4 linked regions of the Rhinolophus ferrumequinum genome follow. The protein of the gene in region 1 interacts with the protein of each later gene in a pairwise test. Links are inferred from orthologs where the notes say so. Each region holds a gene or a part of one and is shown on either strand. Other genes may lie near its edges.

What was found. The genes of interacting proteins can lie anywhere in the genome.
Region 2: the proteins of GLRX3 (region 1) and CA9 interact in binary tests that used the Homo sapiens proteins (3 or more experiments, as listed by UniProt). The two-hybrid records come from large-scale screens. The link is inferred for Rhinolophus ferrumequinum from reciprocal best matches to the Homo sapiens genes GLRX3 and CA9.
Region 3: the proteins of GLRX3 (region 1) and MAPKBP1 interact in binary tests that used the Homo sapiens proteins (3 or more experiments, as listed by UniProt). The two-hybrid records come from large-scale screens. The link is inferred for Rhinolophus ferrumequinum from reciprocal best matches to the Homo sapiens genes GLRX3 and MAPKBP1.
Region 4: the proteins of GLRX3 (region 1) and MAP3K3 interact in a two-hybrid assay, tested with the Homo sapiens proteins (2 studies listed by BioGRID and IntAct). The link is inferred for Rhinolophus ferrumequinum from reciprocal best matches to the Homo sapiens genes GLRX3 and MAP3K3.

The regions. Positions count from the first base shown.
Region 1 is NC_046299.1:2,007,351-2,015,250, reverse strand, and holds the start of GLRX3 (glutaredoxin-3), read left to right. Parts: upstream 1-4,838; 5' UTR 4,839-4,900; coding exon 4,901-4,989; intron 4,990-7,900. UniProt on the Homo sapiens protein: Together with BOLA2, acts as a cytosolic iron-sulfur (Fe-S) cluster assembly factor that facilitates [2Fe-2S] cluster insertion into a subset of cytosolic proteins.
Region 2 is NC_046295.1:51,859,511-51,867,259, forward strand, and holds the start of CA9 (carbonic anhydrase 9), read left to right. Parts: upstream 1-4,725; 5' UTR 4,726-4,742; coding exon 4,743-5,157; intron 5,158-5,984; coding exon 5,985-6,014; intron 6,015-6,285; coding exon 6,286-6,456; intron 6,457-6,606; coding exon 6,607-6,749; intron 6,750-6,858; coding exon 6,859-6,951; intron 6,952-7,749. UniProt on the Homo sapiens protein: Catalyzes the interconversion between carbon dioxide and water and the dissociated ions of carbonic acid (i.e. bicarbonate and hydrogen ions).
Region 3 is NC_046289.1:63,620,395-63,627,969, reverse strand, and holds the start of MAPKBP1 (mitogen-activated protein kinase-binding protein 1), read left to right. Parts: upstream 1-4,551; 5' UTR 4,552-4,676; intron 4,677-5,218; 5' UTR 5,219-5,307; coding exon 5,308-5,421; intron 5,422-7,575. UniProt on the Homo sapiens protein: Negative regulator of NOD2 function. It down-regulates NOD2-induced processes such as activation of NF-kappa-B signaling, IL8 secretion and antibacterial response. Involved in JNK signaling pathway.
Region 4 is NC_046304.1:42,259,503-42,267,525, forward strand, and holds the start of MAP3K3 (mitogen-activated protein kinase kinase kinase 3), read left to right. Parts: upstream 1-4,999; 5' UTR 5,000-5,340; coding exon 5,341-5,344; intron 5,345-8,023. UniProt on the Homo sapiens protein: Component of a protein kinase signal transduction cascade. Mediates activation of the NF-kappa-B, AP1 and DDIT3 transcriptional regulators.

The DNA.
Region 1 (7,900 bases):
CACACTTCTGAAATGAAATGGAAGGTATTTTTATTGGCAGAGCCAAGATGAAGTATGACTTGAAACCCGTTTTACAAATAAACTTGAGCATAAATTGTCCATTCACTGCTTTGAGATCTTTTTTCACGTTTGAGGAGCTGTCAGAGGTCCTTCATAAACATGAGTCTTATTTAGTTTACTGGGTATGTAATTCTTCTTTCCTTTGAAAATCATGATTTTTCAAGCAAGTATAGCAAAACTACAACCCATAAACATCTAGCTATGACAGTATAAACCACCTTTACAGCCCGCATGTACGGAGAGTTCTCCCAGTAAAAGCACTTCCTGGTAAGGAACACAACACAGAAGCTTGGCTGACTTGTGCCGGCCCAAGTTCCGGCTCCTACAGCTGACAGAGGAGCCCTCACAGCCTTCCCATTTCCCTAGCCTGTGTCCTCCTCTCTATCAGGGTGACAGCTGGGGCATCCCAACTGTCAGGCTGGCCCTTGGACTAAGAAGGAGGGCTAGTGGCTTGGTAGGACCTAGAATCCGGTTTATGTCCATCCACATGGTTTGTGAGGCACCTTTCACAAAGCCCATTCTTGGGGCCACCAAAGCTAATGGACAGTGGGGTGATATTCCCTGGTGGGCTCTGGAGGGCAAGATGCAGACTGTCCACCTCTCGGTTCCCCCATTCTGCGTCCAGGTCGATGGTCTCTCAGCGAATGCTGTGCCAAGGTTTTTGGCAGGGCTGGGCGTGGGGGTGCAAGTAGGCTTAAGAGAACCTAGTCCAGGGATTCTGCTCTGGGCTTTGGTCCTCCCGTCAGGGCTCCGGGGAAGGCATCTGGGCCCTTCCCACCCAGGCGCCCAGCAGTCACTGAACCCCTGGACATGACCGTGGGCCCCCGGCCAGCTGTGTGGACACAGCCCGGGAGTCTGGCACTGTGCTGACTCCACCCGGTGAGCTGTTAGCAAGTTCTCAGCAGACGTGCGGGTGCTCACTGATGCTTTTTATAGCAGCTCCAGAAGATATCGCAGCTTGAGAACAGAAATGAAAATATGTATCCTTCAGGTGCCAATCTACTGTACTTACAGTTTTACTATTTCTCTGCAGGGGGCCCATTAATCCTGCAACAGTGAAATTCCTAAGGAAATTAGTTCCCTCCGGTTGGGGTTACCCTCAACTGGTCTTTGGGGGCAGAGTGATTGGAATTTAAGAGTCTCTTAAAAGAAAGGAAACGTTGGCCACTTTACCTGAGTAACACACTTTCCAGTACAAATGCTTCGTCGTCCATTAAAGCTGGCTCACTCCTTCCCTGTGTGTCTCAGCTCCTGGGGTGGGGTTTACAAAGACCCCGCCAGCTGGGGGTTCAGTTCCAAGTGCTCCTCCACTGGCTGTCACTCCTTTCCTCTCTGGGTTATATGTGCCCACCTGGAACTCAGCACTGTGCCCTGCCTGCCGTGGAGGACACCACCTGGCTGGGCAAAGGAATGAGCCAGGCGTCATCAGAAGGGCACGGCTGCAGTATTTCCCTGCCTTTGCAGGAGCAGTAAGTGTTAGCTGTCATTACCCGGGGAAAACACACACACACACACACACACATTCCTTTAGAATGGGGCAGTTTGGACATAGGCTGGCATTCCTTTGCGACCTGCAGCTTTGTCTGCAGTTTCGCTCTGTCAGGCCAGGCTTCAGCCCCGAGGACCTAGAGCCCCAGTTTCCTGGTCCCCATGCTCCCGGCCCCTGAAGTGCCATACAGCACCCTGGGGAAACCTAATTGTCCTATCCTTCTCAGGGCTGTGCTGCTGTCCTAGGAAAACTGTTCCTGGTGCCAGACCAAGAGCGGCCTGGGGACCCAGGAGAGGCCCCTGCCCAGAGGGTACTTAAGATGAAGTGTCACTGGGTTCCAAAGGGGTTCCCCACCTCCTTCACTGCTCCAAATTGGAAATAAGATGTGGCTAAACGATGCTTACATATGGAGTCAGCAGAATGTCGGTGCCTGGGATGAACCCACACTGGGGACACAGGCCCAAATCAGCCCCTGGATCTTGGATTCCAGTGGTTTTGAGCTTTCAAGCACTAATAGGGGCACCAGGAAAAGCCAAGTCCAGAGTGTAACAGAAGGAACAGGCCAACCCCATTTAATATGACAATGACAAGTTTTCTCCTCTGGGCCTGAACAAGAGAAAGAGGACTGGGCCCTCCAACACTGGAGCCGCATGTGGGACAGGGTGGCGGTGGCAGTGAGAAGAGCTTGAAGCCCAACGGGAGGGCCCTGGGGTGAGGCCTGACAGTCACTCGCTGGCCCTTCCCGGCTGTGGGCCTGGCCGGTTTCCTTAGCTGTAAAGGGGGGTAGGCACTGAGGTGTTTACAGCTGAAGGTAGCACAGAATGCTAAATGCAGGCACGTGTGTGCAGCTGCTTTGGAAGGCTGAAAACCACCACATACCTGTGTATACACCTATGGACTTGGAACTCAGGAGCCACAGCTCCCGACATGCGGCGTGGGCTCAAAGCCGAATGGAGTAGTCTTGGTTGCCTACGTGAGAGCATTTTCAAGCTCAGGCGTCATCTGCTGATGTCAGGCCTGTTGATACCAACAGTGATAACTGCAGAAAGGGCAGGGGGCAGGACTGGGAATGTCTGGGAATGTTCCTAACTTTTGTTTTGAAGTAGGGAGTGTGCTCTGTAGCTGGTGTATGCTGCTTTCGGCAAATTCCATTTAAAGGAAAAATCAGGATTTTTAAAACAGCCACATTAGAAGGCTGCTTACTGTTTTGCTTTGTTTTTTAAAAAAGATCCATATACCACATTTCCCTGGTGCATTACAATTTCATTATTTTTTAAATTACAAGGCCAGTTCCACTCTTTGAAAAAAATGCCCATGACACTCAGAAGCCTATAATAATGTAAAGCATGAAGGTCCTCCCTTTAAAACTCCCCTATTTTCACTCTCTGCAGGCAAGCTCTCCTACCACTTTGGGGACATCCTTCTGAAGGTCTCTTCCTATGCTACATTCAGCCGTGTATAGTTATATATTTGTTTACATGTAATTCTGTTAAAGATGGTTATTGGAGCCTAATCCTGTTTTGCAACATGCTGTTTTCCCCCCATTGAATTTTTCCTCCATAGTAATCTCTAGGTTTCCTTTACTAAAAAGAAAAAAAGAAAAAAAAAAGAGCAACTAACCTTTTTATTTTAAAATAATGTGGAGTCATATGCAGGTATCAGAAATGATACAAAGAGACCTGTGTACATTTTCTCAAAAGATAACATCGTGCAAAACTGTAGTAGTGCCACACCCAGGATACTGGTATCCATATAACCAACCCATTCTTTTCAATTTCCCAGTTTCACTTGTACTTGTTTGTATATATTTTGTTCTATGCAATGTTATCGCATGTTTGAGTATCTACCACCACAGTCAGGAACAAACAGTTCCTCATTGCTCTCCTGTTGCATTTCAAACACTGTAATTTACAATTGTCAGTAACACCTATTCTCAGGGTGAGGCACACGTGTAATGGGCTCCTAACCGGTCACTGTCAATGACCAGAACAGCGCTGCCAAGGGAAAACCTAGGGTGAGCCGCAAATGAAAGTCACTACATAACTAAATTTCTAGCAACCCCATTAAAAATATAAAAAGATGTAAATTAAATTTAATAACATATCTCACAAAACCCAATATATCCCAAATGTTATCATTTCAACATGCAATCAATTAAAAATTACTAATGAGATAGATTACCTTTTTTTGGTACTACTAAATCTTTGAAACTCCGTGAGCCCACTTTTCCAGTAGCTGCGCGTGGCGAGCGCGCACTGAGCACGACTCTGCCCGGCTCCAATGCAGACACTGGGGTACGCACATTCCTGCCTGTCTCCATAACTGAGCTGGTGGAGGAGACAAGCACAGTTCCAATCCAGTGAGATGTGCACGTGGGAGAAGCGGCACGGTGCCCTGAACACGAGGGAAGGCTCCATCGGGCCTGCCCTCAAAGCCTGTCCAGAACCCCAGGGCTGTCCAGGAGGAGCCCCTCCTGTCTGGGTGGGAGCACGAATTTTCAGTGACATGGGAGCTACAACAGGAGCGGCGCTTTGGAGAAAAGGCCAGGTGTGGTGTGGGGTCCTCCAAGAGGAGACAGCCCTCCCCAAAGCAGATGGTGACTGGGCTCTGGGGGCGGAGGGACTTGCCGTGGAGATGGAGGGCATGGACGTGACTCAGGCCGGAGAGTGTGTGCGGGGCATGACAAGTGTGGGAGGACACCACCTGGAGAGTCAACATTAGGGGGATCCACAGGGAACCAGGGAGGGGCTGGAGGTTAGAGAGTATGCGGACCTGGAGGCCCGAGTGAGGGAGGGGCAGGGGTCCTGGAGCTGGGCCGTGGTGCCAGGCGATGCTGCTCCGAGGTGGGGGGCATCGCGGGGGCACAGGTGGCGGGACACGCGGTGGCTCGGGTTCGGGTCCTTCAGGTCCGAATTCAAAGGTCTTTGTCAGTGTTGAGGTTCCGAGATGGCGCAACCTCTCTTTCCCTGACCTCCCATCCATCCTCACCTTGGTGTAATTTCATTTTAGGTTCGATTTTTGTTAAGTGCAAACCTGACTTCTCTTACACTCACATCACACGCACACCCTTCTCCCAGCTGCTGTGGGAGATGCAGGGAAGGTACGGAGCAGAAAGACCCGCAGGCAGACTCCTGGCCGTTGGGAGCCGGGAAGCTCAGGAGCAGTGCGCAAGCTCAAGCGGCCGGAAGCATGTCCCCAGGTGTCCTCGTCTTGGCTGGTGCTGGCGCAGGCGCAGGCGCAGGCGCAGGCCCGGGGCGGGGCGGACCCGGGGGCGGGGCTTTCGCGCACAGCGTCAGAGGCCCCGCCCCCCGGGCCGCCGGCGCTCGATTGCTCTTGTCTGGCGGCGGCAGCATGGCGGCGGGAGCGGCCGAGACGGCGGCGGTGGCCGTGGAGGTCGGCTCAGCCCAGCAGTTTGAGGAGCTTCTGCGCCTCAAAGCCAGGTGAGCGGGGCGGCGGGCGGCAGGGGTGAGGGGCACGGCGGAGGCCGGCCTCGCGGGACGGCGCGGCCCGGCCTGGGCGGAGCGGCCGGCGCGGCTCCCGGGCCCTGGCTCCTCACCGCGGCGGAGGAGCGGGGTCCGGCCGCACACCCCCGGCGCGGCCCCTTCCCGCGGTGTGAGCGGCGAGCGGCAGAGGAAGGCCGGGCGGGGCCGGGGAGGCTGCCCGGCTGCAGGGGGCGTCTGGAGCGCGGTGTGCGCCGCTGGCAGCGCTCACACTTAAAGCCTCCCGGCGGCCGCAGCCTGAATTTCCTGTTTGCTGAGCTGGCCTGCTGGGGTCCTCCAGCCCTGGGAAGACGCCCCGACGACGGCGCAGGGGTGCGCAGTCCGCCTTTGGGGACCAACGGGCCCCGTCGTGCTCACCGCACCTCACTCTGCCGGGTCCTCCCTCCCGGGACGCCTGTTCTCAGCGTGTCCCTGGTGGTGCGGTGGGAGCTCCCGCGCCCACTGCCCGGGAGCCAGTGCCCTGCTCAGCCTCTTGGTGGCCGTGTAACCCCGGGCAGGTGTCATAACCGGGCCTCAGTGTCCGCAGCGGTGAAATGGGTCAGAACAGCGCCCACCCCAAGGTTGGGAGCACCGAGTCGGATGCTGCGCGTACCGCACCGCACCGCACCGCCTCGCGTGCACGAGCAGTCAGCCTTAGCTCTCGGCATTTTCTGGATGGAGCGGAGGGCATGGAGCTGGCACGCAGCAAATGCTTACGGACCTAAATGCGGTAGAATTTTGCTGAGGAATGTGAATTAGAGACAGGTGCTACTCTGGGCGAGTAGCTCAGGTAGCGTGTGCAGGTCAGACGGGGGACGTACTGCCTTCGTGGAAAATGGGAAGGGTGCGAGTAGCCTTTCATGGTCCTTGGCCTTTCATGCTTTACGAAGGGGATGGAGTTAAAAGTGTTAACCACAACAGCTCTTTTGGCGTTTCAGGGTTACCTGGAAAATTGTTTGTTTAAAAAGGAGAGGGGATGACGTTTACTCATTGATGAAAAGTGGGTTCTGATTCAGCCAACACTCCACACATCTTAAAATAGCGCAATTATGAAGTCACCAGAGGTGGCCTCCTAAAATGAGCAGGGCTTGTGTGGACCTGCCCTCAGTAAATGAACTTGCTACCATCTGGAAGACCATTTTGCTTTTTGTGTATTTCATTTTTTGAAATATTAAGGTCCTTAAGATATCACTATCAGGAAAAGTTTAAATGGAAGTACATTTGGGTGTATTCTTGTCACTGGTCTGTACTTGAAGTGACTCCAAAAGCAGTGCACCTTTTCCATAGTGAGAGTTTCATTGGGCACATGGGAAATGACGCCTGCTATGTGGGCAAGGAACAAATCTCTGCAGCTTTTTGTGAAAATCGAAGCATTTAAGAATTATTAAATAGCATTCGTTAATGTAATAATTTAAAGTCTACTTCCCAAATCTTCACTTCTCAGTTTTAAAATTTCATATGAACTGAAAATTTTTCTTTGCTTAACTCAATCACATGTTTTACATGTTAATGAAACCTCAGGTGGTCTGTACAGTGGGGATATTAATATCCATTTGCAGAGTAATTAAGGTTTTGCCTATTTGTAAAATGTTTAATAGAGTCTAGCATGTGCTAGTGTTTAAGAAGTGGTAGCTTGTGTTATCTGCAGATGAATAACTGCAGGAGCAGAACACCTGTAATAATAGAAACAGCCATTAATGAGCACTAATGATTTTACTGATGAAGAACCCAGGTTCATTGCATTGTCTAAAATCCCATCAATCAGGATTTCTCTAAAGGTTTTCCTTAAACAGTGCACCCTGCATTTTGGGCTATCCGTGAAGATGGAGACAGTGCTGTTCCCTGTAAGCCGAGAGAGGATGATAAATAGCACTTATGTTTGTTTCAGGTTTATGTCCTTACGATATAAGGCACCATGTACTGAACTGGAAAGTGGAAGCTACACATCTAGATATGAGAATATTGCAGATGATTTACAAGAACAGTGAACATTAATGTCATTCTTCAGTGTTTTCAAAGTGCTTTATAGTTTTGTTTGATCTTCCCAACATCCCAGGATTTTGGTTATTGCTGTTTCACAGAGGTGGAATTAAAAGCCACATTAGTAGTAATGAAATTTAAGTTGTATGTGTGTGCTTTTTTATTTTCTTTTTTGCATGTCATTTCATATTGTTAAAAAGTTTGGTAATCTATTTTAATTTTTAAAATACATGTAATCATATTGTGAGGATTTTCCCATGTCATTAAAAAAATCTTCAACATACGATTTTTTTCATGGCTTTATAATATTTTATATGACTTAAAAAAACTTGTTGAACAATACATTTTTGCAGTTATTTGCTATGGAAAATAATAGGAAAGCATTCAGTCACATAAACCTTTGTCTCTAATACTTTCTTTGGATACTTGAAAGTGGGAAGTTTCTGACAGGTTCCAATTTAATTTTAACCAGCAGGATATGAAAGTGCTTGTCTCACTCTGTCTTTCTTGTCATTGAATATTATTTTAAAAATATTTTTTCGATCCAGTAAAAAGTGGTATCCTAACTTTTAAAAGATTGAGGTATTAACTTACATACTATAATAAAATGTACAGATCTTAATTGTTAGATGTGATGAATTTTGACAATTGTATGCACACAAATGACCATCATTCAAAACAAGGATAGAGAGCCCCAGAAAGTTCTTTAGCCCCTTTCCAGGACTCCCCAGCACCGATCTGCTTTCTGTCACTGTAAACTCGGTTTGCCTGTTCTTGGACTTAATGTAAATGGAGTCACACAGCTCCTGGTCTTCTTTGTCGTTTTACTCAGTGTATTTTCGAGACTCATCCATGTTGTTGCAAGTAGCCATAGTTGGATTCTTTTTATTCC
Region 2 (7,749 bases), on another chromosome or scaffold:
CTCACCACGCTCAAGATCCTTACCTAGGGCCCGTCCAAACGGCGTCCACTGTGGACGTCGCTGGGCCACCTTCTCGTCGGGGACGTCTCCCACGACTTCAAGTAACGAAGCCTCCAGGGTCGTAACCTGCACTTTCCTTCCCGTGAGAATTCTCAACTGGGACCGGGCAGAGACCTGTTTCAGTCTCTCCGGTCGAGGACCTGTTTCAGTCCTCCCCTGTTTGGGACAGGGCAGAGACCTGTTTCAGTCTCTCCGGTCGAGGACCTGTTTCAGTCCTCCCCTATTGGAGGTGGCCAAACCTCCTTCCGCGGTTCCCTATGTAAACCTCGGTATCGGGAGTTGTCTGTTCCCCTGAGGGGGGGCATCCCGGACGAGCCCCCAAATGTTAAGATCCGGAATTGTCCCCCTCAGACAGACAGAGAACCCGCACAATAATGCAAGTCGCACAGCGAGGTTTATTACCAGCCGGCTGGGGTCCCCGTCTCTGCCCGACGCAGCGGGTTTTTAACAAGGACCCCAAACACTTAAAGCCAAGGGGTTATATAGCATTTTCAAGGCCTTCCATAGCTTCTGAGAGTACAAGATAAACTTACAGGACTTACATAGTTTCAAAGAGTATAAGATTTACTACAGGACAAGGAGACCAGGACTATAAGATAAGCTACAGGACTTGCATAGCTTCAAAGAGTATAAGATTTACTGCAGGACAAGGAGACCAGGAGTATAAGATAAGCTACAGGACTTCTAGTCGCCATGCTGCAACTGCCCACATCCTGGAATTTTATAATTATGTTGTTTCAGGCTAGGGGCTGTTAACCCTGACCTGAAGATAGCAGTTCTCATGCTAACAGTCTCTTACATGCTAACAGTCTCTTACATCATCAACTTATAGAAGCCATGAGAGTGGATGAAACTGCCTACAAAGAGTATAAAGAGGGATATGGGCAGAAGGCAGGAGAGTTGCCAACACAAACCCATTTCTTCCCATCCTGTGCATCCACTTCAGTTCTAAATGGCTGATGGCGTAGTGGGCTAAATGGTGGTCCCCGTACACATATGTCCATATCCTAACCTCTAGAACCAGTAAATGTGAACTTATTTGGATAAAGGGTCTTTGCAGATGTAATTAAGCTAAAGATCTTGAGAAGAAATCATTCTGGGCCCTAAATCCAATGACGACTATTCCTAAAGGAGACACCCAGTGGAGAGACAGGGATGACAGGAGAAGGCCATGTGAAGTTGGAGGCAGAGATTGGAGTGATGCAGCCACAAGCCAAGGAATGCCTGGAGCCACAAGAAGCTACCCTGTTTCCCCAAAAATAAGACCTAGCCGGACCATCAGTTCTAATGCATCTTTTGGAGCAAAAATTAACATAAGACTCGGTCTTATATTACATAATATAAGACCGAGTCTTATAGTATAATAAAACCGGGTCTTATGTTAATTTTTGCTCCAAAGGATGCTTAGAGCTGATGGTCCGGCTAGGTCTTATTTTCGGGGAAACACAGTAGAAGAAACCCTAGAAGCTTCCAAAGAAGTAGGGCCCTGCCAACCCCTGATTTCAGATTTGTAGCCTCCAGAACTGTGAGAGAAAAAAATCTGTTGTTCTAAGCCACCCAATTTGTGGTAACTTGTCACAGTAGTCCTAGGAAACTAATACAGATGGTGAGGTGGGCCAGAACTACAGGTCAGCCTCAAGGCCCCAGAAGGGCTTTGCTCTGTCTTTGCTTCCAATCCATGGCTGGGGAGTAGAGGTTTTGTTTTGTTTTGTTCTTTCTGCCCTGCAACCCTGGGATAAAAACAGACACTAATGACCAAACACTTGACCTTAAGACTGTGTACCAGGTGGGGAGGGTGCCCAAGTCAGTCACTTCTGAGTACACCCTGTCCCAGAAGCTCAGGGAACAAGAAAGACTCTGGGAGCTCAAACCTGTTTGGGGGTTTGGCAGACTCCCAGCTGCAAAGGTGTGATGCAGGGTCAGAGTCCATATTCCCCACCCAGACCAGAGATATAGTCACACACAGAGACAGAGAGCTCAAGAGCACCATACAGAACAGCATTTGGAAAATTAGAAAGCTGTAACAAAGAGAGATCTGTACCTAGACAGAGATCTGGACTCTGACATACTGAGAGAAGCATCAGAGAGGGCGGGGAGATGTGTGGACATACAGAGTGCCGTAGAGATGTGTACAAAGGGGTCCTGACAGAGACCTACTAGGGAAAAAGAAACAGTCAGAACATTTGGAAAGAGGGAAATGAAATAAAGCTGGGACTGGTGTTGGAAAAAGATGTCCTGACATACAGACTCCAGTTACTATGGTGCTTCTGTCCCCTGCGCTCCCCATGAAGTCTTCCACCTCAACTAGAAGTTACCACATTCCATCTTGTCCAGGTCCATCCAATTTAGATATTACTATGGACCTTTCATGTGTCAGGGTCCAGCCAGGGTGCTGACCACACAGCTGCCCAAGACAATGAGCTGACCATCCAGAGTACACACTGCATCAGATTGCCATGCATGAACGGCTCTTAATTTGGCTCCAGAAATGGCACCTTAGACTGTAGGCTAATTACCTCGTAAAGTGACTGCTTGGAGACAGCTGTTGTTCAGCCATACGAGTTTTGGTGTACAGTATGGCAGTCACTCTGACGAGGCAGATAATTTGGGATGCCATACAAACATGATGTCATGTTCCTGCAACAGTTGTGGTTTGACACACACACTGGTCATTGACAGTGAGCTCCCTGGGGGCAGGGTCGTCATCTTAATCAATTTGGTTTTTCTCAAACCCAGGCAAGGTGATCTGCAGAGAAAATACTCAATAATGGTTGTTGAATAAAAGAGTGACTCAATCAATCAAAATATTGAACTCTGCCCTTATGGAACTCAAAGCTATTAGAGCAGATAAAATGTCATAAATCATCCTAATATGAATTAGATGGTGGACAAAGTTATTAACAAGGGCAGCAAAAGCACTGTGGTGGCTGAGGCACCAGAAATCTCTTCCGGTGGTGCAATTAGTCAAGAAAGACTTCCTGGAAGTCTTGAGTAATAGAAGGGTTTTAGATAGGGGAGATAGTAAAACTATATAAATATATATATATTTTAGTAAAACTAACATGGTAGTGGGTGCACTATCAGAGTGGAAGCTGGTTGAGGCATCTGGGTGGGTCTTGGGATCCCTCCTGTGCCGGCCATTATCTCTTTAGATAAGAGATCATGAGGCTGTCAGGAGAGGTCCCAGAAGCACCCTGGAGGAAGGGGCTAGTTACCAACAAAATTAGAAATATTTCAATATATTTAATTAATCTATATAACCATACAGGTGTGTACCTACTGAACATCAGTTCCAGGTATGAACCTCCTGAGATGGCCTTACTCTCTTTGCTGGTTTGTTGAAGCCATAGGGACCTTCTTAGAATGTGAGTTACAGAACAGTGGAGGCTGTTCTCCAGTCCAGTGCTGCATCCCCCTAGAGCCTAGAACAGAACCTGGAGGATTGGAGGAGGCTCAATAAATGTTTGTTAAATGAACAGGCAGAGAGTGGGAACCCCAAGCCCATTCTTGGGGTCCTCATACTCTTCGTCTCCTTTCACCCACTCTCCCCCTACAATCCATGCTCTATACACAGCCCTCCACCTCCCAGTCCTAATATGAGAATTGGATTCTGTCATTCTCCTGTTCAAAATATTTGATGCCTCCCCTTTGCCCAGAATACCATTCTTTCCATTGTTTTTACCAATTAAACTGCTGCTTCTTCACAACCCTGAGCAAATTTGCTTACTTCTGTATTACCTTCTGAGGCAGAATTCATCTCTTGCTGCTAAATCTTATGATAGTGTTTGCCCTCACTCCCTAAACAGTGAGCTCCTCAGGACAAGGGCTGTCATTCATTCCTGCACTTTTAGCCCAGTGCCTGACATATAGTAAATGCTAAATAAATATTTGTTGACTATAAGGGTGATTGGCATTCCTGGGAGCAAGAACTAGATGACAAAGGTGGTCAAAGGTTTGGGGGGGAAAATGAATAGTTTAATCTGGCCTTAGTATGAAGAGCAGTAAGAAATAAGATGGAAAGTTCTCTTGGGTAAGATTTTGAAGGGGCATAGAAGTCAGCTAGCAGGAGAAGATAGGCACATGGAAGATTCTTTGGTAGGCAATGGGAAGCCAATGAAGGTTTTTGAGCAGAGGTTTAATATGATGAAAAATAAATGTAGTTTAAACCCATCAGAATCCTTCTCATACATATACTGTTTTCCATTCATACTCAAATTCACCTCCTACTACCCATTCATCCACCCCCTCACCCACAGGCTTCTGTAGCAGCTTGCCCTACCCCTTTACCTGCTTCCTAGCTGGGCAGGGAATACACATGTGCTACTCCCCTCTCAGCCAGAGGATGTGGGGGCCCCAGCTCCCTGTCTTTTTCTGTCCCTGCCTGGGGCTGGGAAGCAGGCCAGGGTTAGCTCAGGCTGGCTGGCAGGCAACCGGGTGGTGCCAGGGAAAGCCTGTGCTGCCATGTGGTGCCTTGGGTTCCAAGCTGAGCCCATGACCCCAATAACCTTGTGCCTGCACACATACCTGCATTCACTCCACCCCCAATCTAGCCTTTGGTATCAAGGAGGGGGCACAGCGCCAGAAAGACCTGAGGAACTTTGGCTTCATTTCTAGAAAAGGGCACTCTGAGTCAGGCTGCTCCCCTCCAGGCTTGTTCCTCCCCCACCCAGCTCCTGTTTCCAATGCACGTACAGCCCGTACACACTGTACAGCCTGTACACACCGACCCGGGACATCCTACAGTCAGCCACATGGCTCTCCTGTGCCCCAGTCCCTGGCTCCCTCTGTTGATCCCAACCCCTGCCTCGGGACCTACTGTGCAACTGCTGCTGTTACTGCTGCTCCTGGTACCTACCCAACCCCAGAGTCTACCCAGGATGCAGAGGACTCCCTCCATGGGAGGAGATTTGTCTGGGGAAGATGATCCACTGGGCAAGGAGGACCTGTCCAGTGAAGAGGATCCACCTGGAGAGGAGGACCCACCTGGAATGAAGACAGAATCAGCAGAAGACGACTCTCTGAAATTAGAGGATCTACCTACTGTTGAGACTCCCAGGGACACTGAAGTCCCCCAGAATAATCACAGGAACAACAAAGGTAAGTCATCATCAGCCCTCAAAATCTAGGCTCCAGGAGGTTTGTGCCTCTCCTCATTAAACCCCATCCCAGGCAAGGATTATTCAGGGAAGTAGAGGAGCCTGTACTCTGACAGTAGCCTTTCCCAACCCCAGGGGCTCCCATGCCACTAGATCCTTCACCTCTTTCAGAGCTAGAAGGGGGACAGATGGGGAGAGAAAAATGGGACACAGATGGAGAGAAGTGAGTAGGAAGAGATGGGAAAGAAGAAAGGAGAAGGTTGGAGAGGAGATAGACATGAGGAATGTGGAAAGAGAAAACACAGAGAGAAGAGTATGAGACAAGAGAAAAGATGGGGGTACCAGAGGAAGAGCCGGAAGGGCTTGTAGAGATGACCTCATCTTCAGTACACAGGTGAGGAAACTGAGGCACAGGAAGAAGGAAACAGCAGGTAGGGGGACCCGGTATCATGACTCCCAAGCTACGAACTTTGGGAAAAGAGTTGGAGGCCAGAAAGGGAAGAGGGATGAGTGGGGGAGAAAGGATGGTCTACTGATTTGGGCTTTGAGACTGAGACCCCCACCCACTTTACTAAGACAGTGGTTGCAACTGGTATCTGCAGGGCCAGTAGGATCTTTGTGTGGCTCACCATGCTGTGGTGTCAAATTTGGCTGCACTCTATTGTGCTTTACACATGGCCCACTTTAGGCATTTATTACCTGCTGTGCCCCTCCCTGTAAGGCACCTGCGTTTGCGCAGCGCTGTTAGTGAGGGGGGCCCACATGGATCTGGCCCCAGCGAGGGGCTGGGCTCAAAAATCAGCCTCCTTATCCTTCTCTTTTATGCAGGGGGTGACCACAGTCATTGGCGCTATGGAGGTGAGACACCCACCACCTGCACAGACCTATTTTGGACACCCAGCTCTGACCTGCCCCACAACCATCCCTGAACTCAGGTCCTGGGCGTCCCACCCACTGCATCCACATCTGCCAGGCCCCCAAAACGCCCGCTACCTGTCTCTGTCCACATCCCTGATTTCTACTTCCCGCTCCAATGTCTTCTGACTCCACCCCACACTTTTTCTACCGCTCGTCCCTCAAAGTTCCTGATCTTATCACCAAACTTCCTGTCCATACTCTTCCACCACAGGAGGCCCACCCTGGCCCCAGATGTCCCCAGCCTGCGCTGGCCGCTTCCAGTCCCCGGTAGATATCCGCCCAGAGCACACCGTATTCTTCCCCGCCCTGCGACCCCTGCAACTCTTTGGCTTTGAGCTCCCGTCACGCCCCAAACTGCACCTGCGCAACAACGGCCACACGGGTGAGGCAGTCCCGGAACCTCAGGGAGGGGCGGAGGCTATCTGGGAATGGGACAGGGCCTAGGGAAGAGGGACGGCCTGGGCGGTGCTTGGAGGTTAGGCTGGCTCTCAGGGGCGGGGCAGCGTCTGATTCACCTGCGCTCCCCACGCAGTGCAGCTGACTCTGCCTCCGGGAATGGAGATGGCCCTGGGTCCTGGGCGGGAGTACCGGGCGCTGCAGTTGCATTTGCACTGGGGGGCTGCTGGTCGCCCGGGCTCGGAGCACACGGTTGGTGGCCAACATTACCCTGCCGAGGTGAGCGCTCAGTTGTCGGCGGAGGGACGAAATGAATCGTGGGCAAGATCCCCAGAAATGGGGCGCGGGCAGGGGATCTTGCCCACGCCTACCTGCCTGTCCTCTCCAGATCCACGTGGTTCACCTTAGTACTGCATTTGCCAAAGTTGACGACGCCTTGGGGCGCCCAGGGGGCCTGGCCGTGTTGGCTGCCTTTCTGCAGGTACCAGCCTCGACAGCCCTCCACTCCCTGCTTCCCCGTGCGTCTGGGCTCAGTATATCTTGCCCTCAGAGGCCCCATCCCAGCACTCACCCAGGCACCTGGCTATCATCCTCATTCTCTCGTTAGTTTATTCATTCAACAGCCGCTGGATTACAAAAAGGATTCAGAAACCGTGGGTCCTTGTCTCTAAGGAGTCCACAGCCAGTGAGGGAAGCTGACAGGGTAGACACATACAAATGACACAGAGTAAAAGAGGTGGTCATGGAAGGCTTCTCAGAGGAAGTGAAACTTAAAGCTTTCACTAATGGGAAATAAAAGGGGATATTCTGTGCGGAGCAAATGGTATGTGCAAAGACTCAAAGAATATGGCTCATTCAGGGAACGGCAGATGCAATAAAATGGACATCAGGAAGAGTAATTTCTCTGCTGCTCCTATAACCCACAATTTCCCCTTTGTGAAATGCAAGAAAGTCTAGAGAAACATCTAGTGACCTCTTTGGACCTGTAATGATCAAGGCTACAAACACAGTGATTAGAGGAGGCCAGTAAAATGGAGGGATGGTGAGACACCTGCTACCTTCACTCTTGCCCTTACTCCTTAATACTACTAGCCTTAGAACACAAAGTTCAGAGAAGTGCCTTGGAAATCACATATTCTTGCTCCAAAAATCAACATATGAATTATTAAGGTGAATGCAGAGGTAACACGAATACAAAGGTTATTACAGTTTTCGGGGGTAAAGCACGGAGTGTATGTGAAGTGTAAAGATAGCATTGAGTGAGTAGGGCCCAGGTCAG
Region 3 (7,575 bases), on another chromosome or scaffold:
ACCTTCCTTCCTCTGAGGTTACTGAAGGAGCTTGAAGTGGGTAATGAGTGCCCTTCAGCTTTTCATTATCCTTCCCACTCCTCTTTACCCAGCAGATTTTAATCAATGCCTTAGCCAAGGAGTCCAGCGCCTGTCTTCCCCACTACTAATTGTCCTTGGAGATGCTAGTACTTTAATCCAGGTATAGCAGTTTCCCATTATTTCCTTGCTTGTCTTGTGCTCATGTTTCCTCCTGACTTCCCAAGGCTCTTGTTAGGCTTTTGAGGGTCAGCCAAGGAACAGACAAGTGAGCGAATAATCCTCAGGAAAAGAAGGACCATTCTGCTCTGAACACTCTTCCCTTTTTTATAGACAAACAGGTAATAATCAGTTCTTTATGGGAAGATATTTGACTCTGTTTATGAGAGATGTACAAAGGTGGAAATGAGAGATGATTCCCGGTGTTCAAGGAAGGCTGCAGATGTCATTACAAACCCCCAAGATAATGGTGTTTTCAAGACCTCTTAGAACTAGGAAGTTATCAGGGCTATTTTGAGGAGGGCTCAGTCTTCAGAACAATCATGCAGTTGGACAGAAATCTAAAATCTCCAAAAATTCCTACCTTTAACCTTACCCCAGGAAAAACTGATCTATGAAAATTACATGTGTGATTATGAAAGATGTCGTTGAGTGAGAGGAGTTGAGGAATCGGGAGAATAGTGAGCTCTCACCCTAACTCTGTAAGAAGCATGATCTCAGTAGACCAATAATTCGCCTTTTTATACATCTGTAAATAAATGGAATGTTTTTAAGAATATAATTATGTCAGATTTAGCCTTTTCTTTTGTATATTAAATATATATCTTTCCTTTTCTGCTTTTGAAAAATGACTATTTTTTTAGAAACCTAAGAACAGAAGAAGTTTGGCGAGTGGAAGGCAGAATGTATAAACTTGAAATAAATAAATCTGTTATAATAATTAAAGCAGAACTTGGTGTTGGGAGGTTTGTGCTGAGTTGGAGTAGAGAATCATAATGCCCTGAGATATCAGAGAGAGGTGCCACTGAAGTTGTTTTATCATAGGAATTCCTTACTGTTTTCAGTTGCCAATATGCCATTTGAGGAAGGTTTTTGGTGTTCTAATCCTTGAAACATGTTTTACGTGGAGACTTCAAAATTTTGTACAACTTGACGGCAAGAGTATGTCTCAAGAAATTGTTCTACAATGAAGAAAGGCTAGCCACATAGTACCAATGTGTGCAAGGTAATATACCCGTTACCCTGAGTAACAAGACATAAACAGTCTTAGCAGGTAAGGACAATAGATGTTCTTAAAGCAAATATATGTTAACTAGTATCACAATTTACAAAAACATTTTATTAAAGGAGTCCTTTAGATTGAACTACTCTAAGGTCACAGATCAAGTCCAGTTACATAAACTTCATACAAATTACTTTGTGTAATTTTATAATAAATGCAGGTATCCCCCCAGAATTATGGATGAACTACGTGAAGGTAGGCCTTTCAGTAACACGTTTGAAAATGTTTTGAACACAAAAGAAAAGCAGAGAATCCATACTCATATATAATTTTGGGCAGGGTTTAGTAGTATATTTTTCCCCCCTAAGTATACTGGTTGACATATTCAAATAGAACGGGATCTGGTGAATTGAGAGGTAAATGCACTTTGAAGACAGGTCTAAAAAAATGGTGATAATCCTTGTTCTTCCCAGAAGATTAAAAAAAAGAAAAAAGAAATGCACAAAGTAGGCACATTTTCAGGTACTTTTATAGAGAATGATTGATAACCAAGAATCAATACATTTCTTGCACAAAATTGATTTTGAAGAAAGTGCTTGTAAGGGCATCAATGCTTCATGTATTATCTCTAATGAAATGTTACATGAACATGAATGGCTGGATGCAGAGAAAATTAAACCTAAGGAATGCATATAACAGACTCACTGCCATTTGGAGAAGAAAGATCAATCTGCATTTTTGAAATTTAGAGGGAAATAATTTGATGTGTACTACTTTTGAACTGAGGTATGATTGTACTATATTAAATTTGAACTTCTCTACAGATGCCTAAGTGTTGAATAATAGTGATGGAGGTGTGTGTGGAATGGGAGGTAGCTAAACAATCGGACGAGCTGGGACTTTTGAGACAAATCTGAGCTTTACTAAATTCTCTATTGTAAACTCTGCTGTTAGAAGACACTTTGTTAAATAGGAAAGCAGTCTTGGAAGCATTGTTTTGCGATACCCTGTTTCCAACTGCAAGCATTGGTCTCAGCTGTCCTACAGTGCCTTGCATGTAAAGGTGCTCAATAAATATTTGAATTGATGAGCAAACATGTTTAGCTTGTTAGTTTTCCAGGATCTTACAATCACATATATTGGCATGTTAAGTCTAGGGTGAATTTCCAAATCTGGTCTAATGATCATAGTGCAAAACAGACAAGTGTATATATATACCTCTTTTCCTAGATATCTAGTATTTTTGAGTGACAACCATGTATATATGTTTAGGAAATATACAAGCAGAACAGAAAGTGAAATAGCATATTGATGGTGAAATACTGATACAAGGATCACCTGCATTTTGGAGGGTGGGATGGCAAGTATTTAATTTGTAGAAAAGGGAATGAGGCTTCTGTTCACACTGGACCTGGGACTTGTTTTTTGAGGAATTAATTCGTGAAACTTGGGGAAACTTGGAAACAGCCTACAGCCTATTCCCATGCTGACACTTCAGAGGCTGCCTAATACCTAGACAATAAAGGTTGGACTCAGTTGTGAAGAATTAAAAATAAATGTGGTTTTAGCCCTAGACTGGAAATATCCAGACTTAAGAATTCTTATCTCATTACACTGTTCTCAGTTGCTCTTCACCTAAATCATCTTAGACAAAGCAGAAACTTGAATTTGCCTTTGCAGCTTCAGCTTCAGATGAGAGTAATTTGGGGAACATTTTCTCTAAGGGGACAAACTAGTATAGTGCTGGACAGGAAATGACCAATGACACTTTGTAAACCCATTTACCTGGCCAGGAGTGAGAAAACCACTAGTGGACACAAACAATCTGGAGCGAATTAGGGACAACTCCAAGATGGAGATGGCAGTTTCTGGGAATGCTGCACACGGGTAAGGACACCAGGTGGCACCATTTATTAGTGTTATGTTGGCTCCTACCCCTATTGAGATAAAAATCACAAACTAGCAAGTTGAAAGAGCCAACCCCCTATATCATACTGTGGTGCCTAATGGCTCTTGCCTCCTTCGTCCACATTTGGGAAATATGAAAATTCCACTTTTCGTTACATCTGCAGTGCATGGTTGAAGGAAAGGGGATACCTCATGCCACTGATAGCTATTGCTAGTCTTATATTTTTTGCTCCAAAAGACGTACTAGAGCTGATCGTCTGGCTAGGTCTTATTTTCGGGGAAACACGGTACAATACACACAAGCACAAAGCTGTTTGCCACTTGGCTGTACAAGACATGCACAGCAATGGGTTTAGGGGTCCTTCCCTCTTGCTAACATCCCCCAGGGGTTCCAAGGATCTAGGTAGGGTGAGACAGTTACATCGCTGTACTATTTCTCTGGGCCGCAGTGTTTTGGCTTAGGCTAACCTTTTCATAAGGTAATTTCTTGAAGTAGCGAAGAGGCAGAAAATCAGGCTTAGAAAATAAATTCTTAGGCTGTGACACCTGTGAAATAATACTGTAAACGCGCCCCCAACCCCCGTAAGCTAGAAAAACTATACCACTAAATCTAGTATCAGCAAGCTTGACAGTGACCTCGCTAAAATAGTACTAGGGAAAAGGTTTCACGAGTAAATTTTGACAGGAACAGGAAAAGATCTGGAGCAACAAAGTCCTGTTTAACTGGGTGAGAGAGCGCGGTGGGACATAAGAGACTAAAGAAACCAGGAAACAAATTGTCCCGTAGGCACATTCACTTGTCTTTGCTCTCCCCGATACGCCTAAAGCTCTATTCAAGGCAATCATCTCCCTCCCCTTCATTCCATCATGGCCAATCAGGTTGCCCAGTTAATAACACTTAGCAATCGAAAAAGTTACGCCAGAGAGTCATTTATACGTAGGTTAACGCGCTGCCGAACAACTATTCTAACCGCTTTAAGTCCCAGCACTTGGGGTCGATGGGAGCAGAGACTTATGGCTGTGTCTCAATCTTGTAATTCTGAGCTAGGAGTTAGTTTCAGCTCTGGTCCCTCGGGCCTATCAAATGCCAACTGTGGCACCCTGGGGGCGTGGTACTATCCTTGGGGCCCCGGGGAATGCAGTACTCTGGGGGGCCAGGTCTCATAATACCATAAAAGGCTTGGTTCTTTCAATTCTGAAGCCATGTTCTGTAGATCTTCCTTTAAGAGCGATACCCGCGACTACGTTGTGAGGAATCCGTGGTTTTCGAGTCCCAGGTCCTCAGCTTCCTAGGCGCTTCATTGGCTCCGCCCCCACAGACGTTATTCGTCCACTCTGGGAACGCCCTCCTCGCCTCGGCCCCGCCTACCCAGCCCGTAACTTGGCCCAGGCGGTAGTTCGCGTTTTGAGCCGCTGGTGCCACCATAGCTGCTGCTGCTGCTGTTGCTGCTGCGACTGTGGAGCTGAAATCGCCGAGCGCGATGCCTGAGGGCGCTGTGAGCGGCTCGGCCCTCGGGCCCCGGGGCTGGTGAGGCTGGGTCCGAACGGGGGCGCTGGCGAGTAGCAGGGGCTTCTGAGGGAGGTGAAAAAGAAAGGTGCAGGGCCCCTGTGGGGGGCCGACAGGGAGCTCCAGAGGGTCGTGGGTGGGGGAGGGAGGCTCCCGAGGCAGAGCGGGTTGCGGGGCCACAGCGAGCCCCGTCACGCCGAGTGTCCTCGCGGCCTCCAGCGCAGGTGCCCAGGCCCCCGGAGGGACTCGTCGGTGGCCTCCTTCCTTGGACATTGCAGTTGCCATGGGAGCACTTTGAAATTAACGGTGACCAGACCAGCCATTAGCCCTACTAGATCCCATCCATCCCTCCAGTTTAAACGCCTCTGGCCGGCATGGGCCTGTCATTTCTTTGCAGCTCAGAGTTTTTACCCCCCTTTTCACGGGTCTGTCCTTCAAACGTTGAAAGGAACCGCACAGGGCTTGAAGGTGGGGACGAGGAGAGGGGAAAGGGCAATACCTAGAGATAAGAGCTGCAGACACTGCTAGGCAGAAAGTAAGGTGGCCTCTACCATCCATCTCAGGTCAGTGAGAGGGCATACTGGAAGACCCTTTGGCGTGGAAAGGCAGTGCTGCTGTTGAGACAAGTCCCAAGATTGGGCCAGGTACTGTCATGGCTGTGGAAGGGTCAACCATTACCAGCCGCATCAAGAACCTGCTGCGATCCCCATCCATCAAATTACGCAGGAGTAAGGCAGGAAATCGCCGAGAGGACCTCAGCTCCAAGGTGAGTCCTGGTATGGGGAGCCACTTCTTTCCAATCCTCCCTTCCTCTGCTCCATGTTCCTCTTCTTCCTCTTTCTTGGGAAAGAGGAGTTCTAGAGGCTCCTGTTGGCTCCAAAGGATCAAGTGTGCCTATCTCTGCCTCTCGAGAAAGCAATGATGTCCTTTTAGGTTGAATGAAAAAGAGCAGCAGGGGTGGACATGCTAAGATTTATTCATGAAAAGAGGAACAGGAGAAAGGCAACCTGGATTCAATTGTGGCCTCATGACAAGCTAAGTCTGTGTTTGGGGAAGCTAGTCAATATGCTATGACTCAGTTTCCCTTCCTGGAAGAGGGTAATGGGACCACATGTTTTGTGAAGGACTAAGCTGTGACTAATGTAGCTGCAAGTGTTAGTGTCACAGCGAGGTTATGTAAGACAGTAGTAGCAGAAAGAAATACACTCAAACACTTAGTCTGAGAAATTGGCTTGGCAAATGCTCTTGCCTAGGGTCAAACAAATTTATTTGTCTCTTCAAGAGACGTAAATTAATTTAACTGGAGCTTCTTGGCTTCGTAGGAATGATAACATGCAAGGAGCTAAATACTTGCCTCAAAACAGTTTTCCGGGTTTGCCCTGAACGTTGCGTATCTCATTCTCTATGTGCTAAGAGTCACATCACACCAAGTTGCAGAAGTTCCTCGGAGGCCAAATCCCATTCCATCCCCTCAAGCTGTCTGGGTGTTGGTTTCTTCAACTTTGTTTTCTTCAACTTTGTTTCGCCCAGCATCTTTGGGAATACAAAAGTAGACTAAATTTATTTAATCCCTGAGGGAATCTAGGTCTTTGTTTTCCACAGGATCACGTTAGACTTTTGTGCGTTATTAGCAGCCAGAAAGCACAGTAGCCTTGCGTGGTACAGGATTGCTGTAGGGAGAGGCATTTGAGACAGCAGCATTTGATTGCCTTGCCTGTATCTCTTCAGAGATGAGTTAAGCCAATAAGGAATGACTCAGATGCTAATGTACAACATGGCCGGGTTCTGGAAGGACTTAATTCAGATGCCTGTCCCTTAGCAGAACTTTACTTGGATTTGGTCATAAGGTGAACAACTTTCCTGTATGTTTCATCAGAGGGCATATTAAATCGAAATCAGCCACGAGGATCCGTGGCAGTGGACATAGTGACTTTTCCAAGGACTCCTATTAATTAATCATTGCTCGTATTCTTCAGAGGCAAAAGAATGAGCCTGAAACTCAGAAATGTTCTTAGGTTTGACTCTGTTCACTCATTTGTCGTGTTGGGTCATTCTTAGTACGGCAAGCACTGGTATCCTTGACTGGTGACGTGGCAATGGCTATCACTACGTATTAGAGCAATCTTCTCATAGCTATGGCTTCTTTTTCCGACCCAGAATAGTATAGGTAGTATAAATGTATGATGGGAGTTTAGTCTTCAGTGCTAATCCTTAATGTAATTTTGGTCTGGGATTCAGAAGGTATGGCCACCATTCTTTAAAATTTCCCATGTCATTCATCATTAATTCATTCAACAAATGTTTATTGTGTGCCTATTATGTGTGGAGTCAGGGATGAATAAAACTATCTTTGCCATCAAGGAGCTTGTGGCTGGTCAAGCTTGTAGACAAATAATTACATGATGTGGTAAGTGCTGTCCTAGAAGTATGCAAAAGGTGTTAAAGGCAGCACAGGGGAGGGAACCCAAATCAGCTTTAGGGAATTAGGAAAGACTGCACGGAGGAAGGGATGCTTGAACTGTGAGTCCTGAGGCAAGAGGACAAGAGAGGAAGCTCTCCAGGAAAACAGTGAAAAAAGGCATCCCAGGCATCACCATTAAACAACCGTGTTTCAAATAGGAATTCAGTGCTTCAGATTCTTTAAATGGCTTTGTGTGTCCCAGAGCTGTGAATGAAGGAAATACTTAGCTAAAGTTGAATGACCCTTGAATAGTTTGACAGAGCAAGAGTACTGGTGCATATCTTTAGCACCCAAAAGTAGTAGCTGTCTTTGTGTGCCTAGGACCCTACAGATTCCTGCTTTTCCACACTCCTTCCTGAAGACTCTCTACCTAAGATGATTCTAAAAGCCTGCCTTACGGTAACCCACATAGGACTTGGTGTATAAGGCTTTGTCAGCTGCTCTAATATGTGGTGGCTG
Region 4 (8,023 bases), on another chromosome or scaffold:
GTAATTTATTTAGCTAACATTTGGATTGTCTATCTTACAAAAGGTGTGCAGTAAACATTCTTTTCCTTTGCTCACTTGCAAAGTATTTTTTAGGATAAACTTACAGTGGTGGGATTTCAAAATGGAAAGCAATTTTTCTTTCCAAGTAAATGTCAATAACATATAAAACATCATCATTGTAAAAATCTATGATGTGTACGTCATTCCTCAATAATGCAGATAAACTAACTGATTGAACTGGTAATTTGAATATATTCCAGTAGACTCCTGAATTAAAATAATTTTCATCAAATCAGGTTTGTTGGTTTCTTTTTTTACACCAAATTCATTGAGCTGTCCCCTAAGATCATTCATTCATTTGTATTTATTGTTCCCTGTCATGTGTCCAAGAAGTTCTATGCTCTTGAAAAGAAAAAAGGAAAGTGTGTAGCTAGTGTGTGATTGGGCTGCTTAATGGGACCAGCACTTTGGGAGGTCCTGCGCACTAGGGGCAGGTTGTGATTCTTGGGATCAGATATGGCTCAGGTGCTTCACCAGGGGCATCTACTCAGTGTGAAACCAAGGGAACGGACTTGAGAAGGTATGGCCCAACTGGGAAGCTTCACAGGGAAAATGAAGATAGGAGGGCAACAGCATAGAAAAAAGAATAAAATATATAGCTACAAGGGCACACTTGTGGAAATTACATTCAATTGCTACATCCTCATTTGAGGTTCACTTATTCATTCAACAAATATTTGTTTTTTGAATGTACTATGGAAGATTCTAGACATGCCAATTTGAATGGCACAGCTTCTGTCTTTTTTTTTATTTTTAAGATTTTATTGGGGAAGGGGAACAGGACTTTATTGGGGAACAGTGTGTACTTCCAGGACTTTTTTCCAAGTCTTAGTTGTGGAGGGTGCCATTCAGCTTCAAGTTGTCCTTTCAGTCTTAGTTGTGGAGGGTGCAGCTCAGCTCCAGGTCCAGTTGCCATTGCTAGTTGTAGGGGGCGCAGCCCCCCATCCCTGTGGGAGTCGAACCGGCAACCTTGTGGTTGAGAGGACATGCCCCAACCAACTAAGCCATCTGGGAGCTCAGCAGCTCAGCTCAAGGTGCCGTGTTCAATCTTAGTTCCACCATCCCTTGCGGGACTGGAGGAGATGAACCGGCAGCCTTGTGGTTGAGAGCCCACTGGCCCATGTGGGAATCGAACCGGCAGCCTTCAGAGTTAGGAGCATGGAGCTCCAACTGCCTGAGCCACCGGGCCGGCCCCAGTTTCTGTCTTTATGCTTACTTAAAGGCAATTACAATAGAGTAGGACAGTGCTTTGATGAAGAAAGTACTAGGTGCTGTGTGGTACCCAGATTTGAGGGTATCTGGAAGGTTTTCCTGGAGGGAGTGATGTTTAGGCTTAGCTCTTCACTGAAAGAATGGGGGTAGGGGCAAGAGTGGAGGAGAAGACTGTTCGAAACAGAAAATAGCATATTCAGAGGTGTACAGGCAAGAGAGAGTCATTTGAAGAACTGCCTACCAGTGGTTCCGTGTGGCCAGAACATAGAATTTGAATGATGGGGTTGGTAGAGGTGAGAAGTGGAAAAACTTGTGGCTAAAGAAGGAATGGCTTGGGTCCTGAAAGGCCTTTCTGGCTAGATTCACATATTTGACTTATCCTAAAGGTGATGGGAAACTAAAGTTTTTAAGCAGAGGATGACAGGATCAGGTATCTGTTCTAGAAAAAATCACCCTGTGATGTGAGCACACATCGGGAGGCTATTACACTAAATAATCCAAGTAAATGATTAAGTGGTTTGAACTAGGGTGATGAAGCTGGGGATTCGAGAGAAGTAGACAGATTGAGGACATGGTCAGGATTAACTGGGGGAAGAGAATGGAGAGGAAGAGCTCTCAAAATTAGACAACTCAGAGGTATCGAATTGGAGAACTGAAGATGGGCAGAGGAAATACAGAACTAGGAGGAAAATAATTTATTCAGTTTTGAACTGTAGAATTTGAGGTGCCTATGGGAAACTCAATGGGATGATGGCTCTGGATAGCTCAGAAGAAAGTCCATGTGGTAACTGCAGCGTGGGATGATTGAGATGGCTGGTTAAGGGACAGCCAATGGAAACGAAGCCCTCAAAGAAAGCAGTTGCCAGAAAAGTGGAAAATCAGAAGGCTCTTTTCAGCTAAAGACTTAAGTAGTTGTACTGCATTTCTCTATCATGTGCGAGGTACTATTCTAAGTGCTGGTGATAGGGCAGTGAACAGAACAAAATCCCTGATCCTACACAGTTTATGTAGGTGGAGGAAAGACAAGAGTGTGTGTATGTGTATAAAATTCAGGCACTATGTAGACAAATAAGGCAGAATATGGAGATACAGAATGATTGTGGAGGGGGGAGAGGCTATTTTGGATGGGAGGCTTAGGAACTCTTTTAAGAGTTGACATTTGAGCAGAGACCTGAATCAAATGCAGGAATTAGTCATTGTAACATCCTGGGGAAGAGCATTCCAGGCAGAACAAATGGCAAATACCTGAGGTGAAAGATCCCGAGCCTGGTAGGTTCAAAGTATGGTGAGAAGGTCAGTTTGGATGAAGGACAGCGATTGAGGGAGAATGATAGAGATGAAGTAGGAGAGGGTGGCGGGGGTAGCTCCTGTTGGGTCCGGAAGGCCATGACAGAGTTTGGATTTTATTCTACATGTAATGGGAAGCCATTGAAAGGTTGACAGCAGGGGAGTGACATGATCTGAATTACTTTTTACAGTAATTGGCTGCTATGTGAAGAATCATTTATTGGGTGACCACAGAGGAAAAAGGGAGATCAGTCAGGAGGTTAGGGCAGTCGTCCAACAGAGGATGGTGGCTTGGACTAGACTAGGGTGGTAGTAGTGAGAAGTGGTTTGGTTCAAATACTGAAACAAGAGCTGAAAAGATTTGCTGAATGATTGGCTATAGGGGTGTGAGGGAAAGAGTAAAATCAAGGCAGATTCTTAGGTTTGTATTTTAAGAACTGGGAAAACAGGAGCAGGGTTTTTTGGGGGGAGGTGAAAATAATTAAGAGTTCAGTGTAAAACATGTTAAATTGGAGATGTGTGTTACGTAGACATTCCAAGAGAAACTGCTGAATAGACCTTCACATACAGGCCATGAGTGAGTACTAGATTTCTACTGACATAAGTATGTCTTTTTAAAATATTTATCTCAGGTTAATAAAATTAAGGGTCAGGTTTTAGCTTCAGATTGGCAGATTATGACCTCTAGCATATATGCCTATTATATTCATTCTCAACAGGGTTTTATCCCCAAACGGGTGAAAAGTGATTGTTAATGGGTCAAAAAATGTAGATAATAACAATGGTGTGTGGCCTTCAAAGCGCAACCTCACCTGACAAAAATCTTATTCCTTAGTATTTAATTTCTCTCATTAGGAAGAATTTAAATTTAATTAATTTGAAATTTTCCCTTTTTGGGGGGGTGATAATGGAAAAAAAACAGTTGAGAAAACTTTCTCAGAAAAAAGATTATTATAGGAACTACAATAAACTGGGTAGGGATCTAATCAAGAGGGAAAATGACAGACTTAAAAGCTTGTTGAAGGAAAAAAATAAACTAACTGGACGAGGGGCCTGATAAATACTGGGGTGGGAATGTAAATAAAGAGTGGAGTCTAAGGCAATTCTTCAGAGATTTGACACCCAAGGCAAAGCCACCACTAAAAGTTTAGTTGACAGTTGAAAAATGCATCTGAGGAAGATTATTCTGGCATCTCATTTATATTACACCAGAGGAAGGGAGCTTTTATTAATTGTGGTGGACTTGGAATCTGAAGATCGAGGTGTACGAAATGTTGAAAGGGAAATTAATTATGGTCACCCTCTATTTTGAAATATGCAGCCAGTACAATTGTTTTGGAACAATATTCAGTGGCACGGGAAAACACTTAATAAAATGTAAGCATACTACAAAACAATATGAAGCCATTTTTGTCAAACGTTGTGAATCTGGGTAGGAAAGAGATAAAATTACCTCTGAGGTGGGATTTTTTTTTTTCTTTCAGTTTTTATATAGAGAACTTGTATTGGTTTTATAACCAGAAAAAAATTTTTTTCCCCCGAAAGAACCTTTCTGGCTTGGCACTGGTTTGGCCCTGGCCAGCAACGAACTCCCAGATTTCCGAGGACCCACATTCTAGCACTATCCCAGCCCCTCGGAGGGTGTGGCCTTGGAGGTATGAGACCCAGGAAAAGGCGGCCAGCGGTGAGGCTCCCCCTGCCTCCGGGCAAGCGTAGCGTCTGGACCGCAGGACAAGCCAAGGGATCCCGCGGCAGAAGTGGCCACACGCCGGGAAGCGCACAGAGCCAAAACCCTCCCTGCTTATTACACACCCTGTGTGGGCACAGGATATGGCAGGACGCTGGCCTCAGGGACCGCCGGGACCGCGGAGACCCAGGAGGGCGGGAGGCCGAAGTGCCCCTCCAGCTTCCATTCCTAACTGCAGCCCCCAAGTAGCCGGCAGGGAACCGCGCCAGCCCGCGCACCAGCGGAGCCTTGGGTGACTGACAGGAGGTGGGAGCGCAGGCGGAGCCTCACGCGCGAGCTGTGATTGGAACAACCAACACCTCCCGGGGAGAGAGAGGATGAGCCAGTGAGGGATGTTCAGAGGCGGGTGCTCAGATTCCTCTACGTGATTGGCTAGCAGCGGAGAGAACTGGGCGCTATTTCGATGATTGGCAGTCGGTAGATAGCTCTCGGAAACTGCCTTGGCTTCGCCTATTGGCATCCTGCGAGAGTAGGCGGGATTGGTTCATCGTGTGGTGCTGATGATTAGCTGGCGGCTGAGAGGGTGTTGGGAAGAGAGCGTTGGAGGGGGTGGTGGTGGGGGGGCAGCGACTTCCTCCTTGTTATTGGCTGGTGAAGTGAGTGGGGGTGGTACGATGGTGCAGCACATGCTTTGGATTGGCGAACGCTGGGTTGAGTGACAGGCAAGGGGGCGAGCTGCGCGACCAGCGGTTTGTTTTTCGGAGCGTTCTTGAGGTGGAGAACGGTGGCCGGACGGAACGACTGAGGGACTGAGGGACTGGCTGGCGGGCGGGCCGAGCGGCGCCGCCGAGGCCGGGCTGGGCCGAGCAGAGGAGCGCCGGGGATGTAGCGGGCCACCCTGCCCATGCCACAGCGCCCGGCCGCGGGCGGAGCCGGAGCCGGAGCCTGGGGAGGCGGCGGGGGCCCCGAGGGCAGCCCGCGCCCCCCGCGCGGAGCCAGGCCCGCTGCCGTCCCCGCCGCCCGGGCCCCCGGCATGCAGCCCGGGCTGCGGAGGTGACACTCGGGCCCGAGCCGCCGCCGCCGCCATCGCCACCATGGGTGAGTGTCGCCACCGCCCCGGCCTGTGCCCGCGCTACTTCGCGTCGCCCCGCCCCGGGCTGAGGGGAGGAGGACCCTGGGCCGCCGCCTGACAGGCATGGACAGCCCGCCGGGCCGGGGTTGCGGACCGCCGGAGCCCGCCCGCCCGGCTCGTAGCTCCACGGTCCGGGCGGGGGTTCTGGCTCCCCGGCCCGCTGGGGCGGTCCCGGCAGGCGGAACCCACTCGGCAGCCTCCTTCCGGGCCGCGCAGCGGGTGCATCCCGAGGAAGCGGTGGCGGGATCGAGGGCCGGTGCTCGGCGGGTCAGCCCGCTCCGGCCGCAGCGAGCCGGACCGCGAGCCCGAGGGCGGGGGAGCGAGAGCGCAGTGTGGGGCCCCGGCTGGAGGCTGGTGCAGGCCCAGCTGCTGTTGTGTCTTTTCCTTGATTTGCTTTTTTTTCCTGCCTGTGTCATTTCCTTCCCTTTGCTCACACAGGCCAGCCTGTGAGTTCCCGGGGCTTGCTCTCGAGCCTTGTGCGCGCCCCAGCGCAGGGGGGAGGGCGTGCGAGGAGATAGTCTGGGAGGTGATTAAAACGGCTATCGCTGTAATAAACAGCGCGGTTGAGAAATGCGAGCTGCACGCAGATTGCTGGAGGTTAGAAATTGGTCGGGGACTGCCAGTTATAATTCACATCCCTACTTTTTGAGAAATCCGGTTGCAGTATTTTGCATCCATTATTTTTATCTTGCAGAAGCCCTGAAATTATGTAACTTTTGAGAGAAGCATTTGCTCCACAAAAGAATGTCTATGAAATCATTTCCTTTTTATCAATATTTGCAATTTCTGTTGTGAAGACGTAATCTAAGAAAAGCTTTTAATGTCTTTCACACGTAACATTTGAACTGAATTATAGTTCATGTCCTTTGGGTAACTTAGCAAATGACTGTTGGACTGCATTAAGAAGCAAATAAAATTTTAGATGTGCTTTGCATCTCTTGTTGGGTCAGTTATTGTGATAATGTGGTGCGCAATCTCAAGACTTGCAAAGTATTCGTCCTAAATACTTGATTATGTCCTAAATAATCAAGGGGTAAACTTCAGTGAAAGGATCCTTTGCAGAGCCATTCATTGAATCTGTGAAGTGCCCCATGTAAAGAGGGAACGTTAATGTTTGCTTTGCCCTATAGCAAGGTCAAGTCATTTTTGTAGGAGGTTAAGTGTATGCTGTGTCACATTAAGCATATACTCTTTTGTCGCCTATCTTTACATGCTGGCTTTGAATGAATTGCCTTGTTCTATTCCAGGCTTCCCCTCATATGGTAAGGGATGGGTTTGTTCACTTGTTGGACTTACTGTTCCCTTCCCATGCTCTACTTCAGAAATGCTTACATTCCCAGGGAAAGTCTCCTGTGACAGTAAGCAGAAAAGGAATCCAGTAAGGCCTGGTATTTAAATACATAATTCAACACATACTTATTGAACATTTACTGTAAATGGGGCACGTAATACTTCTTATCCTTCTTAGGCTTCAAACATTTATCTTGTGTTTTGGAATTTGATGATTGAACTAAATCTTTTAATTTAACCTATATTTATGATAGTGTTTCTAATAATAAGTCTTTCCTTTTTGTCCTGTGGGGCTCGTCTTAAGTCCCAAAAGGGAGTGTGAAATACTTGAGGAGGTGCAGAGCTCCCACTCCCCACTTTCTGGACTGCTAAACCAGTTAAGAGTGCCCAGATGTGTTGGCTACATTTCATTGTCTAACATGAAAATAGATGTCAGCCTGTTTTCACATTTCAAGACATTTTCAAAAAGTTTAAGTGTGTGAGTCTAAGGAGGGACAATGATGGGGAGAAAAGGAGCTGTGTAGGTAGGGTCCAGAGCCCCAGAGAAAAAAGGACCAGGATCTCAGTGTCTTCTCTTTTGTCCCAGTGTCAGTTTCACTTGATGGAGGAATTAACTTGCCTGGTGGCTGCAGTATATTAGGCAATCTGGTTTAAAAACCACTGCCTGGCTTTCTTCAGCACTTCCCCCACCCCGGATACTATTCTCTCTCTTTTTGGTAGATGACCTTGACATGCAGAATACTAAATTCTCCCAGAACCTGGCTCTTGAATATGCTTTGTATAGGGCTCAGTGAGGATATATGTGCACGCGCGCACACACACGCACACACACGCACACACAGTCTCTCTTAAATAATAGTTTCCATTTTGGTAATATTGATGATGAAAATTCAAATTCCCAGGCTGGTTAGTTTGTTTTAGTTGCTATAGTTCTAAGTAAACTCAAGGGGTTGATAAGAGAGAAACACAGACTTACTAATATTTTCATTCCACTTGTTAAACTCCAGTCCAGTGAGGAAAAGACTAAAACTAATTTGAGTCCCTGCAGGTTCTTTGGTTAACAGTCATATTTTCCTGAGCCGTTCTAAGCCCCAAACTCAAGCCTATTTGACAACTTGGGTTGGTAATAAAAACATGTCAGATTTTATATTGGCTGTTAGCCCCAGTAAATTTCTAGTGGAAACTACACTTACCCTGTAAATAATAGGAAATATTCTCTTTTTTTTGGCTTTGATACTATGTGGTTATTTTAAAAAAATGGGATTGGTCATTTTTTTTTGGTTATGCTAGAATTCTCTCTTAGTTTTAGCAATTATAGTGGCAAATACTGTTAATAATGTCTAAGATTAATTCAC